Styela clava: one gene and its partner. The protein of the gene in region 1 purifies or fractionates together with the protein of each later gene. This does not show direct contact. Links are inferred from orthologs where the notes say so. Each region holds a gene or a part of one and is shown on either strand. Other genes may lie near its edges.

Region 1 (7,750 bases):
ATCCCGTAAAAATTGCTGCCATGGAATTCCATGTAAAATTTTTTTTACAGTGTACGTACTTTAAATAAGTGCAACACATCTAAATCAATCAATTGGTACTTTAATCCAGACGGGTACACTGGTTCTTTCAATGCAAAATATTTCAAACTAAATTTGGGTAAACTTGTTAGGTTATTAAAAAATCGATGAGATATGCTTCGAATCTGAGAGTCCTCTGTCCAGGTTTTATCATTTTTCGTTCAATTCAAAATATAAATTCAAAGTGGTTATATTGATATTAATTCATAGTTTAATAAAATCAGTCTATTGGATTTTGCTGTATACAATATCAAAATGGATTCGGGTGTTTGGTTGCAATTCTACAATAGCTTATAAAATATTAAAGAATTTACAAAACTTCCAAGTTGATTTTACTTTATCCTCCAAAAAACATATCGTCACGCTAATAACCGAATTGCGTAAGTCATTTTTGACGATTTTGAGTTTTTAATAAAATAGGTATTTATGTAATGCTGCGCACCTGTCTGTTAACTCAGATTTTATTTTAGGAATTCCGAAACCCATAAAAATGGAGATTTAGTATGACATGCACATTTGTGCGATTGTTTCGTCATAATGAATTATCCTTGTTACCGCAGTACTATTGTGACGTCACAAAGGCAAAATAACCTCGGCGAAGTATTTTCGAGTTTTTGCATCTCGGATTCTAGCTTAGCGCGTATTAATTTGAATTTTTACTACAGTATAGGAAGACGTACACTTGTGATATTCACTGTCCGAGTCAAATTTACCTTGGTTGGCTTTTATATTGGGTGCATTGCTGTTTTATTCTTTATATTTTATCTTAGTCCTATTTCGGTGGGTGTGCAGAACGTGTTATATTGATGAAATATATATTTTTAAACATAAAAAATGATTTAATTGAAACTGATTAGCTATTTTGGGGATTAGACATTGTAGATACTGAGAATTACATTCGTTTTTGGAATGTTTAGTTTTCAGGACTGGTGCATATAGTGAAGTTGCAAATTGCGTATGTCACCAAGTCATAGACACATTTCTGCCTAAGTCACAGTGCGCCATTATGATGTCACTTAACTGCGTCATACAAATTAACTTAAATCCGGCTACGATCAAAAAATTGAACCATGGCAAATTATTGACTCTCAATTGCATAACAAAATCATTAGGAAGTTTTTTACGTTTTTCTCAAAACTGCTAAAAATGACTTACGCAATTCGGTTATTAGCGTGACGATATGCAACAGCAAATATGATCAAAAACAATCCACAAATATATGGACACATAGGTCAAATAGACTATCACACGATGAAATTATCTAATTACTTTAATTCAGGGGTCGGCAAACTGCGGCCCGCGAACTAATATTTTGCGGCCCTCAAACAACCCGACTTTAAATGCATACAAATCATATATTGATCCTACATTCATTATTGACTCCACACGAATTTATGTGGTAACAAGTGCTGATATACGGCGTTTGTTTTGTAGTAAGTAGCATCAGTTGTGTGTGGTTTACTTGATGAACGTCCATTTATAAGTTCAGTTTATTTTGATTTTTGAAAAATGTCTGGTAAACGGAGCAAAGATTCCGACGACGGTTGTACATGATTTTCTACATTTTTCTTTCCTGCGCATTTTAAAATCCGTTTGCATGATATGCCAAGTCAGCATCGCAGTTATTAAGTGACAGTGCAAAACTGGTGTAAGACACTGTAAGTACGCGTTCGAAAGCACATATTGCTGTGAGCAGCCTTATCTGAAATGCACTAAACTAAGAATAAACTTCGTACTAATTTGCGAGCGAATATCTCACTGAATAAATTTATCACCTAATCCGAATATTTACCCTCGTCTGTATGTATATACAATATACATCAGTTGAAAATCCCTGATTTATTTTTATATATTGCGTTAATTCAAGATACTTTTTTATCGTAGTTTTTACCTATAGTTGAACAGCGGTTTCTCTGTTGTGTGTAATCATATCACCGATTTGAAATTTGATATATATATATCACTAATCAAAAATTTTGTCGTTACCCGTATACAGTTTAACGTACGGAGAGACGTGTATATTGCTCGTTTCCGGGAGACCGGAAAAAAGTTTATGACTTATTATATTGGATTTTAATGATACAGAGTGAACCTGTGGATAGCCCGTTTTTTGAATGTTGTGATACTTGCCAAACCCGTGCTTGTTTATAGACGTTAAAAGACGCAGGAAATGGGATACGTGAATTTGACGTCATATTTTGCGTTTTGAAAGTTATGTAAAAGATTTATGTAAAGCATGTCATATTATTGTGACATAAAATACCTAGTGACCCACCTAGTGACATAAAATAAATTACCTAAATTGAGGGAACCTGATGTTGGTGAGTCCGATACAAAAGAGAACCCGTTTGAAACTTTCAAATCCCATCACTGCATGTAGTCAATCTGTGATAGATTTTGTATCCCTATATTTATGCATTGCTGTTTTGTTTGATTTTAGTTTTTAAAACTATCATCAAAATTGAATGATCTTTGGATGAATACTAGAGAAATTATTCAATTCTCTGGGCAAATCCTTTAAACTACCCGAGGATTCTATAAAGTCCCTGACCTCTCAATTAATAAAATTAAATGCACAAAGATTAATCTCAATGAATGCTTTTATTCAACATAAGTTCTCTATTCGTACTGTAAAAAATAACTTGAAGTCATAAAATATCTGCAAAAATTCTATATGTGCAACTTTTTAAAATAGAAATATCTTGAAAAAATCGTAGAACCATAGTGCAACAAATAATGCATATGAATGAATGAATCAATTGGAATCTTCGTCATTATTTTTTCCCGGTATTTTGTAAAAAAATATGTACAATACCCCGGCTATAACGTGAAAAGGTATTGGTATCAAAACGCTGAGGCCCGCGCCACCGTTTTGCAAAACATACCGGACAAAAGCTGTGTAAAGCGCTAAAGAAAACCATGGAACAGAGCCAGAAATGCTGAATGCACGAACCTTTGTGTCTGCTGGCTCGTTATACATCGTTTCAATCAAGGAATGAGATATGCAAACAAAACAAAAATCTCTGAAAAATGCTGTTCCCACATCACTTATAAAAACCAGCACAAAACTTTGTAGGTAAACACCAAGTGAAAACAAGCCGCACCAAATAATAACAGCGCATTGACCAAACACAAGAGTGACTTTAGGTCTCCTAAATTTATCAAGTACAAATCCACCCGTGGGTGATCCAAATGCACCTATAACGTAAGATACAATAAATACAATGCCTGCAGTGCTGTCATCGAGTTCTGGGAAAGCGTCTAAAATTATGGATGAAAGCATCCACTCATTCATTGGTCTAACTGAAAGCTGCAAAACGTACATGAACAATAAAAGAACATACTGGCCATTGGCGAATAAACTCAAAATTCCTCTAAGCTCCGTAAGTGGTCTCCATCCGTAGGTATTTGTTCCTGGAGACGCTTTTTTCCCATCTGCGCGAGGCGGGTAGTCTGTAACATACATTTGTGATAATACAAATGCGACAAGCGCTATTCCAGTAAGCGCTATGTACGAGATCTGAAAAGATGTTCTAAAATTTTTCAATAATTCATCGCTCTCAAAATACGCGGATGTTGCGTTAGCACTACCAACGTTAGCATAACCTTGTCGTATGGTCCGCGTTGCAACAATGTTGGATGCCACGGGAGATAATCGGCGTAATATCCACGGTAGTGCCACAGCTCTTCCACGCTCATTTTCGGGAAACCAGTTGCTGGGAGCCATTTGAGATAAGGTCAACGTCATTGTGGCACCAAATCCATTCATTATTTGTCCCATGCCAACAATCACCATGTTTCTTCTAGAAGATACACCGGCTGTAATAAGCAAATCACCGGCGACTATAGTACCGGTTGTAGCAAGTGCGAGTGATCGAAAATTTAACTGCTCTCCGCCCATTGCTAGAACAAAGCCGAAAACACTTCTTGCTATCATATTTATAGTTGACAAAACGTCCGTCGCTGCTGGGGTTGTTTCAAAATACTCCGAAGCAATATCGTTGATGAATCCGAAAAATGAAGCACTGAAGGTATCCAGAAATAAAATCGAACTTACGATCATTAAAATTCCCCATCTTTTGGGCGTGAGAATGTACGGGGTATTAGTCAGCAGTTGCTGGCTTTCGCTTCTAGACATTCTACAACTTGACACAAACTAAATATCTTTCAAAATTTTAAGCAGTTGCTTCTTCCACGGCCACAGTTTGTTTGAAGTCAGTCAGACATATAACACCACAAGAAGCAGATCAATCGTCATGCTTATTTCCGTCTTCGTACCTGAGCAACAGGCAGTTTCCTGCTTCGATAGCAATTAAAATGCGAGCATACACTTCCAGTGAGTAACGTTGTTTCACTTTTTCACGGGGTTCCCAGGCTGTATGAAGTTTTGTTGTGAGACGACCTCGTCTGTAATTCTGTTTTATTTTGTATGTCCATTCTCATTAATACCACTTGAGTTGCCATTGAGCAACTTCCTTTTTAGCTGGTTTGTCAGACTGCCGGCAGTGTGGAAGTTCCTGTGTGATTTGCGTATCTCTATTGTATTTAGTACTGTATTTTTATTGTTTATTGTGTTTTTCATTTGAATATTTGGTTGTATTAAGTTCTTACATGTGTATAATTAATATATGTAAATTAAGTTAGTTATTCTGCTGCAGTTGAAACCGCAACCGCTACCAATACTGGTACGCCACATTTACGGAAAATTGGCGACACGCCAGGATATATTATTCGACACAGGGATTATCAAGACTAAGTCGAATGAATAGGTAGGCTGGTCTGTGACGGATATTATTTGGACAATATCGGATATTAAGATTGTCGAAATTTTTTTTTCAAATTGCGGTTGCCTGATATTTCGGAATACGAAAGAGAATACGAAATTAGACTCGTCAGTTTATCATATTAACGACACACTGCGAGATATTTCTGGCATGATGAAATCTGGTGAAGTTTATGATCCTGATGAAACCAAGCCCATGTGTCAGCCTGATTACTTCAACACTAGCAATGGTTGTCCTTGAAGCACTGCCTGTTCTGATGATTTGAAATATCCGATTTTAGATCTGAAGATGGACAGTCAGAAGGAAAGCCTAACGCACTCTCGCAGACAATAGAAGTAAAATTTTCGGAGGAAGGTGATGTGAGTTCCCTTTCTTAGTTATAATGGTAAAATTAGATATTGATTTCAGTGGCTACACAATCTGTTCCCTCAGTGAGTGCTAACAGTGCCCCAAAGGACAATGTTAGCAGCAGTGTTCTCAATAACACAGCCAATGCTACGATGATGTCAAGAAAGTCAATGTATTTCGATGGGTCAACAACTGTCATGACATGACCACAGTATTTGTGCCATTTTGAATTGGTTATCAGGTATAATCAGTGGAATGATGGCACTGCAGGATTGGCTACTTCTATGACAGGGCAGACTCTCAATGTGTTGAAAGATTTACCAGATTTGAAGCGTACTATGCTTGGATATTGAGGCTCATTTTGATCATTTCTTTAAATCTGCCGGAAATGAGAGCTCATATCGTACTCCATTCACTGTCGTAGGATTAAGCCAAATGGCGCGCCACGGAATGACGGTAACAGTTTTTAAAGAGATTGTTATTCGGCGCTCTGGAAATATTTTTACCAAGGTAACGCACAACCTAAACAACCCTAACCTGGTAAACATACTATGTTCAGGTTGTGCGCCAGCTTGGTACGAATACTTCGAGAGCATCTGTCACTCTTGCTTACTCAAATCTTGAAGATGAAGATGATTTTGTGAAAGGGGTTCACGAGCAGATTTCCAGGGGTACTTGGATGGCAGTCGAGTTTTCGTGTGTTGCTTTTTTAACATCCTTTAACAAACAAAAAACTTCTATCAGATGAAAATGCTCAGCGTAGATTTTTCCTGATCTTGCGTTGTTGTGGTTGTGACGCAACAATATGAAATGCACGACTCTTGGTGTCTAATTACTGGGGGTTCGCGTTGATTTTTTTGTGACTCGGGGGGGGTACTTAACAGAAAAAAGGGTGAGAACCCCTGACTTAACCGATGAAAGCATGATTAAACATGTTACCATGCAACAGTGATACTTTTGGAGGAGCTTTCTCTCTTGCGACACTGTATTACTCTTTTGATACTAATCAATCTGAAAGAAAAGATATGTCTAAACCGCGCATTGCAGCAGTGCAACAGAGTAAAACCGGCAATATAGCTAATCTAGGGTTGCCATACGCCATATTTTTCTAAAGGTGTCAGTTGTGTCCCTGGAATATTGCGGCGATCAAAGAATGAAAAACGCACAACTGTGTTAGTGATATTCGGAGTTTTCTTGGTACAGCAAACTACTACCGAAAGTTTATCGAAGATTATCCAATGATTGCTGGACCTCTTATTCGATTACCCAGGAAGAATATTCCCTTTGTTTAAGGTAATGGATGACAAAAGGCTTTTGAAACATTGTCTGACATTAACCCCAATCCTTAGTTTTCCTAGACTAGATAGAACAATCGGCGAGTTTGTATTAGTTACTGATGACAGGGGTTTTGGAATTGGTGCGGTGTTATCCCAAGTGCATGCGCGTGTGTGTACTTGCGTATGTCAGTAAAATTTTGTCCAAGTCTCAGCGTAGATACTGTTCTACACACCGCGAACTATTAGCCGTGGTGTGGACTGTTCGTCAATCAAGCCATTTTCTTCTCGGAGGACCTTTATGAATCCGCACAGCTCATGCTGCTCTCAAATGGTTGATCAATTTTCGTGAACCACAAGGAACGTTAACAGGATTGACGTTAATTTCACTGGGCGCTTATGACTTTAATATTGAACAGAGACCTGGGGTGAAACATGGCAATGCTGATGGATGGTCACGCCAAATTCGCAAATGCAAACGATAAGATTGTTCAAATTTCGGTAACAATAGAAAAGTAACTCTGAGTAAACTCATTGTAAGTGCAATCTCAAAACAGGTGGTCATTTATCTTCAGATTGTAATTTGATAGATACATACACAGATGAGCAAATTAAATCTTGGCAAAGTGAAGATCCTGATATTTCTGCTGCTGTTTTGAAATGGGTACAAATTTCAGCTCACAAACCTGACGTTCAAGAATGCCTGAATAAACAGTGACCAAACGTTTAATTCCGAAATGGGATTCAAGTTTTGTAGACAATGGACTTCTTTATCGCCATTGGATTCCTGATTGTAACTAGAACTTCTTTTCAGGATTTAGGATACCAAGAATTCTTCATTCATATCAGAGAAGAGACTTTAAATTCGAATTATTTTCTGAGTGGTGTGCCATTTGTACGACATTCAAAAGGCTCGAACAAGTAGATATCATCCCCGTTCGGATGGACACGTTGAACGTTTTAACATGACAATACAGCAAATGTTGAAAGCTTTTGTAAAGGAGAATCAAAATGATTGGGATGACCATCTTCCATATCTTTGCATGGCATATTGCTCCACTGTACATGATAGTATAGGATATTCACCGAACAAGTTAATGCTTGGACGAGAAATTGAGATGACCGTTGATGTTATGTTTGGCAAATCAAGACCACCTACTCATCCTTGTTACACTGAGTTTGTCGAATGGTTTTCCTGTGCAACTGATAAAGCTTCCCTTCATGCTAGGCAACATCTAAATGCTGCTGCAACTAGACAAAAGCGAA
Region 2 (7,421 bases), on another chromosome or scaffold:
ATTGGTGATGTTCAGGGCTGGATTTAGATCACGAGAGACCCCTTCATATTTTTGAGCTCGAAATTTTCTCTGAACAACACCACATTTAATTGCTTAAAATTTAAAAATATTTTTTTTTCTCACTTCAATCATCACATGTTTGAATACCCGAGCTGACTTCTACTGATTTGTTATTAATTTACAATTTTTTTTTTATAAATTAACTGTGGTACTTGCCAAGTGTCCACTAAGTGAAAATCTACAAAAAAAAAGCAGTGGTTTAATAATGGACTACATTTTTAACCGATTCCAAAAATGTTCCGTAACTTAGTCAACCCTTCTTCCAAGGAGTTTTTGTTAAATTGTTCAAACATCTTAACTGTTAATCTTGATAGCGAGCATGGGGGGCAGGGGGGAGCTGACTGTGATGGTCGTATCGCTCCCTAGTCTATACCGAATAACTGTGTGTTTTGTATATAATTTTTATTGATACAATGCTTGTATTCTGGTTGACAAAATAAATCTCTCTCTCGTATTCAGTCATATTCTTTGACCTAGTTAGGAGACCGGTATTGTACCATTATAGGTTGGAGATATTCATCTTTTTTGTATACCGGTACAGTACAACTTATCCTGCCTATTGGCAGGATGGCCAACATTTCTGTATTGTTCGTAGGCTTATTTCAGTATTTACTAAATAATTTAGTTTTCACCTCTTGCAGCCTTGGTACGGTACCGGTAGTTTAAATAACACGTCAGCATTACGGACTTTCATACGAACCATCGGAGCGTGACGGCTGCTGCCAGACACTGTTTTTATCTCACTCTTGGGGGACGCGGCGGTTTCGCTTTTCATTCGCGAGTTTGAGCTGTAGCTTGGTTGAGGGCCAATGTTGCACCTGGAGTGTACTGGATCAGGTGGAACTCGTAATATCTTTTTCAAAGGTATAAAATACGGTACCGTACTATATATACTATGCTGACTATATTAGATAGGATGTCCGGCTACCAGTACTGCAGTACCTGGTAGCACTGAAGTCCGGTACCTGCTATACAGTTCTTCAAGTTGTGTCAATGCCACTGCTTACTACCGCGTTAACCCGAAAATAAAACCTTGTCCGAATTATGAAAATTATTGTAATATAAGCCCTTTAAAATGATAGTCCATACCTAAATTAGAAGAAATTGTAACTTGATGGCAAATTTGTGGAGCGAAATCACAGGCTGAAAGACGTCTGTTTGCTGTTGCTGACTTGACTACATAAGGTGAATATAAGTTGTAATCGGAAACCTCACAAAAATACAGTATGACAAACCTTTCAAATATAGCAATGGGCCTAAAGACTCCAATCATGAAATAACAAAACATGTTAAACACCGATATGACATTACTGTTTAACATATATAATGTTCGTTGCCGTTTTGATTTTATATATTAGAATCTGAACCTATATATTATTTACATTAAAAACATGAACTATGACAATAGACAATACGTTTATTTCGTCGTGCTAGAAATTACAACACAAGTTCACAACAGATAAAAAATTATGCATTACAGTAACAGATTTCATTGCAATTGACAAGAAATCGCGAAGGACCAGAAATGGTCATCATAAGTCAGCGACACCTAGATTTAAGACGAGTCAAAAGTAAAAATTGCAATTAAAGAAAGCAATGGATACAAAGAGAAACTTAGTCATTCAATAAATTACCAACATAACAGGGAGTGATATAAATATTCATATACGGTAGCATTTGGGAGAGAGAAAAAAACATAAGGCGTGGAAATTCAGTGATTAATTTTTTTTATCTTCGTTCATTTCGTCATGCAGGAAATAATACACACATTCAAGGCACAGCTTATACAATACAGAAACGGATTTAGTCGCAATTTAAAAGCAGGTGGCTTTCAACGCAAGAAACAGAAGGGGTCATCATAAGTCTGCGACACCAACATTTGAAATGAGTCAAAAATTGAAATAATAAAAAAGGTAACGGTAGAGAATATTATTTTCATGTTGTTGCAATATATTTTGAACCTACTTATGTTGGGAATTCTAAATTAGACAAAATATTACTGTGTACAAATTTGAATAAATAAATTGTTTCTTTCAGTACCGAACGCCGTCGCGTGAGGACGTGGCTACCTCGAGCCGAAGATATGCATTCGAGAAGTGAATCCCAGACTTAGTGACATCAATAAACAAATAACAGAAATGGCAGATTTTTTAATGATGGACTGGAAATGTGCAAAATGGAAGATTTCGTGATGGACGAAATTATGCTCTGCTCAAATATGGAAAAGACCGGATATACAAATGTTAAACCGTAAATATATATTACTACGGTTAAACTGCACGAACTGGTATTTAAAAATTCACAATCGATTTTTAAATTGGTGTGTTAACGTTTTAGTAGATTTTACTAGATATATGTTTGAGCATGGAACGGAAACATGCATTCGCACTTCATTCTAGGATTTTTCGGATTGTTTGTTTACATGCCGCATCACACGCACAGCGGATATTGAAAAGATTGCACGCAACCTGATTACCAAGTGAAACGCCTGAGTAATGACTGCCGTCAATATTCATGTTTATTTGTTTGTGTTTGTGACTCGTTTTCTTTCTTCTTTGGTAAGTGAACGCGTTTAATACGTTTTAAACCTATTTTATTAGGTTTTGTTCACTTTCCAGATTCTTCGTCTTAATCTTTTGTGTAGATATGTTTACTTTGTTTTTGCGAATGAATCGAAATAAAATCTTATCTTTTTTAATGCTGTTGCAACCAAAGCCAGTGTAATAAGACCAAATCCCAGTTTATTGTAAATTTGAGACATAACTTTCTTCGAAAATTTAAGTCTACCCTAAATTTCAAATGCCATTCACTTATTAATTTCTTGCATATCACCATTATTGCAATTTATACAAATCAACTTAAGTAAAATTTCATTTTTAATAAAAATAAAAATATCATAATTATTGTTGAGTGTTCGAGGGGTGCGAGTTTGACATCCTCTGGTCTACCGTGCTGAGAATGCATCCAAATGATATCCAGGCTTCAGCCCCGATCATCTATTAAACAAATTCCACATCTAGTAGGGCATTTATGCAGAGTCCCAACAACTTGGGGGATCATTCCTTTTTCTAATTTTGTATCAATTGTAATCTTCTTATTAAAACATGATTGGTACCTAATCAAGGGTGAAATTTCCTTTCTTGATAGCTGCTTTCTCCCTCCATATAGTTACATTCTTTTGCAGTTCATTACAATATACAATAAACTTTTATTTCGATTACTCTTACTTTGCAAAGTACGTCATTTCATAGATAGCTCTTAGGTATGTAATCCTTTTCTACTGGAAAGTGAAATTGGTTTTGGGAGGTAGAAACTAAAATTTCACCATTTTTTTTTTTTCTTTTTTCTACTTTAGCCTTTCCAACGTGACAAACCACCATCTGATATTTTTCAGCTTCACTCCACTGTAAAATATTCATAACGTTGGCGAGTGGATGTACCTTCCTAATTTCGCCATGGGACAGTCTAAAAATATTTGTTTCCCATGGGAAATAATGGATCGGGGTTCAGTGGGACATGCCACTGGGCACAATTCGGCAGTGTTTGATCCATTGAGTGCTCAGAGGCCTAGAGATGCGCAATGAGCATATATATGCTCATTGAGATGCGTTATCTTTTGTGTAATATTTTGGTATCTTTCGCCCCATGGCCCAATATGAAATATATTCGAGAATCAAAAGTATTTCTAAATTCAGATTTGACAAAGGAAATAATTCAATTTGTTTACGGAAATTTATGGAAAAATATCTGAAATATTTTGGATGGACATTGATTTAAAAAATATTGAATCTTAAAATTTGTAGTCTCCCTGTTCTTTATATGATAATGCTTATTTTTAAGGGAATAATACGTTGAATTTAACAGAATGACCCATTGTGCCCCAGGTTCTGTCCGAATGTGCCCACAAGTGGGGTACAGTGGGACACTTGACAAGCGTTTTTTAAAGCATTTTGGTGGTAAGATGTGTGTCGCAAGGGAATTTCCTAGCCGCTGAATAAAAACTACATTTACGCTCTCTGCAATAATCCTGCAAAGTGAAATGATTGTGCAGAATAAATGGCTCAAATTATGCAAAAGTAAAAAAAATATCTCAACCTTCCCCACTTTCCCCAACCTGCTGTGCAAGTTGGAGAAAGTGCACTGGGTAAAAGTTGACTTGTTTGCATATCCGAATATAGGTATTATTGAATGTTCATATTAAAATGGGTTTGTCAAGTTTGCGTTGCTAATATGACGAATATTGTCAACAAAATTTAATCGGTAATCGTAACTATATGTAATACCAGTAATAATACGTCGAGCGGTTTTATAATATTGTGTTTTAGACTCCGCTTTTCTGCATTTTTGCAGTCTTGTGGACTTCTGCTTTTTGTGTTTGGGATTAACGCACAGGACGGTACCGGTACCTCTTCGACGTTGGAATGTCCTCCACGGTTTTTAGAATTCTTGTTACACGGAGAATACCGAGAGAAGCCATCGATATTCTTGCTACCAAGTAGGTATTTTACATGTTTTAGTGTATTGCTAAATTCGTAGCCTCGGCATAGTTAACAAACAGCTTCTTGCAGTCATCTTTTCAGTTTTTTTGATGGCTGATATTTAATTCAATTATCCTAACAGTGTAGACATATACGGTCGGACGATATCTAGACTTCTTTGCTATCAGAAGTCAGTCTTAACGTTTTTTTAGCTTGACTAATATTGTGCTTATTCAGATGCAATATTGATGTCTGGGACAGTGATGAATGCATCCCTAACCAAACATTGCATAAACGAATAGAAGGAATTGATGGATTATTTTGTCTTCTTACTGATAAAATTGGCAGTGCAACACTTGATGCTGCAGGTAACATAGAAGATGATTTGTCCAAGAAATATTGTTGTTTAATTGAGATTTGGTGGGATATATTAAAGTCAGCCAGAAAAGCGCCAAAGGGCTAAAGGGAAGTTTGCACTTGTTAATTTCAATTTGTTAGAAATTTTTTCTTTTATTTTTTTGTAATTGCATACACATAGTTAAGAAATTTTTGTTTTCTTGTTTTTATTAAAATAAGGTGCTATTAAATTCACTTTCAATGGCTGAATATTTTAATCTATTAAAATTTTATGTGTAATTAGTCTTCAAGGAGTTGATATGGGATGATAATTCACAATGGTTTTTGATATGGTTTTATAGAGCTTAACTTTTTTCATCAAAATTTTTATCATCAGGTCCATCATTGAAAGTAGTAAGCACTATGTCTGTTGGTGTTGATCACATAGATTTACGTGAATGTGCCAGAAGAAATATAAATATTGGATATACTCCAGATGTTTTAACAGCGGCAACGGTAAAATAGAAATTTTGAGACTTGCTGCAATATGAAGATCTCTCATTCTTTCGTATGTCAAAAATTGAATTATTTTAATGAATGCTTTTTAATTTTGTCATAGGCAGAATTTACTTTAGCATTATTGCTTGCAACATCTCGTAGAATTGTTGAAGCAACACGAGAAGCGCAGAGGTCAGTATATGTGAGCATACTGAAACCTTAATTGAATTTGTCTATTCTTGCGGAATATAGAGGATTTTTACTTTTTTTTGCATTAAAGTATCGTTGGGAATTAAGGTTACTTGGTACACTGCCAATAGTGTATGAAATCAAATTTGAATTATAGGTTTTTTGCTTTCTCAATTATTTGTACTTATACATCCTCCTCCTACAGGATGTATATGAAAATCTTATACCATGGTGAGCGTGAGCACTGTCTGTATATACTCAAAAACATAATCTAGACAGCTTGTGGGGATTGATTTCTGTAAAATTATAAAATCAATAGTGCTAACGGTGCACTAAGGTCATTCCTGTATTGAAATATACTAAGTTAAAAGCTTGCCTCACAATAAATACTTATTAGCCAACTTTATTCACTTGTCTCTTTTCCATATTTAGTGGAGGCTGGGGAACTTGGAAGCCTACATGGTTATGTGGTCCATCTTTATTGGGAGGTACTGTCGGTATAGTTGGTTTGGGTAGAATTGGAATCGCAACGCTGGAGAGACTCAGACCTTTTGGACCAAAAAAGTTTCTGTATAATAATACTAAACGAAGGTCAATAGAAGAGGAAAACGAACTTTCAGTCGAATATGGTAACTAGGGTTTTATTGTACAAAAATTGCCTACAAATTTTTTTTTACGCTCATATTCTGTCCACTGGTTAACAACACTGAACTTTGGCCTACTCAAGTTCTTCTCCAAACTTAGAGATTTACATCCTGGATATCTGGCACCGGTAGCCATCGTTTAGTGTATGTGGAAAATTGCTTTCCTGGTCCCAGTAAATGTTTATTTGTTTCTTCGATGGATGACACAATTATTGTTTGATAAAATTTTAACACAGCTACTCTAGATGACCTTTTGAAAAGAAGTGACTTTGTGCTCTGCTTATGTGCTTTGACTCCAGAATCAACAAATCTATTTAACAGAGAAGCTTTTAATAAAATGAAAAGGACTGCGATCTTTATAAATACAGCCAGGTAAACATGTTTTTTTGTGATTTTATTCCAGTACACTATAAAAGTGAGAGTTTTGAACTGATTGTATTGTGAATCTGTGATGGGAGCAAAAGGTGATGAAATTTTATAGGCCCAAGGTATTTAACAATGGATCACAAGCACTTCCTGAAACTCTAAAGCTCTTAATATTAAAATACTTCTTTATTTTATAATCAAGCCCATGCATTTGAAGCGAATAACTGGCTAATATATTCCATATTCGATATGGACTGGTATCCGGAAGAAAGGCAATGGTTCGCCATATGATTAAGCTGTTTTATTGACATTACCCTCTGGGATAAATATGAAAATCCTAATAAAAATCCTGCACTTGAATTTGTAAGCTGTTATTGTAAAGCTGACAGGCTCTGTATTACTATATTCAAACCTATTCAATCTTTTTTTAATAAATTCACTTTGTCTATTTTGAAACTCATTTATTCCTCTTTACTATGTATATTTTAAAACTGTAACCCCATTATTTGCATGTATAGCTAACCCTCCATGTACCATGGATTCTTTACATGATTCCATGCACAACATATCAATAGATTCTGATGTTATGTTATAATTGGTTGGTTGTGTGGTGCATCATTCTGAGTGTCAGGAATACATTCGCACTGCGCCTCTGATTACCTTGTGTGGGTTAGCACTTCGCAGGTTTGAATCCTGGGATTATTATGTGTGAAAGGTTTGCTGGACTCAGCCGCCGTATGGTGGTTCACATAACCAATTGCTGGTCGGTTATAACTTCCTCCGCCATCAAGTCCATGCATATGAAACAAATGACTGGCTGACTAATCCCATATTTGATATGGACTGGTAA

What was found. Proteins that work in one complex are often made in the same cells at the same time.
Region 2: the proteins of phosphoglucomutase-1-like (region 1) and glyoxylate reductase/hydroxypyruvate reductase-like fractionate together in Homo sapiens (co-fractionation; 3 studies listed by BioGRID). This does not show direct contact. The link is inferred for Styela clava from reciprocal best matches to the Homo sapiens genes PGM1 and GRHPR.

Annotation. Positions count from the first base shown.
Region 1 is NC_135260.1:7,603,396-7,611,145, forward strand, and holds the start of phosphoglucomutase-1-like, read left to right. Parts: upstream 1-4,672; 5' UTR 4,673-4,680; intron 4,681-7,750. Other genes in the region: putative MFS-type transporter C09D4.1, read right to left, coding at 2,667-2,706, 2,964-4,216. UniProt on the Homo sapiens protein: Catalyzes the reversible isomerization of alpha-D-glucose 1-phosphate to alpha-D-glucose 6-phosphate. The mechanism proceeds via the intermediate compound alpha-D-glucose 1,6-bisphosphate.
Region 2 is NC_135262.1:15,482,689-15,490,109, forward strand, and holds the start of glyoxylate reductase/hydroxypyruvate reductase-like, read left to right. Parts: upstream 1-4,395; 5' UTR 4,396-4,481; coding exon 4,482-4,555; intron 4,556-4,775; coding exon 4,776-4,906; intron 4,907-5,271; coding exon 5,272-5,390; intron 5,391-5,493; coding exon 5,494-5,564; intron 5,565-5,993; coding exon 5,994-6,190; intron 6,191-6,441; coding exon 6,442-6,577; intron 6,578-7,421. UniProt on the Homo sapiens protein: Enzyme with hydroxy-pyruvate reductase, glyoxylate reductase and D-glycerate dehydrogenase enzymatic activities. Reduces hydroxypyruvate to D-glycerate, glyoxylate to glycolate, oxidizes D-glycerate to hydroxypyruvate.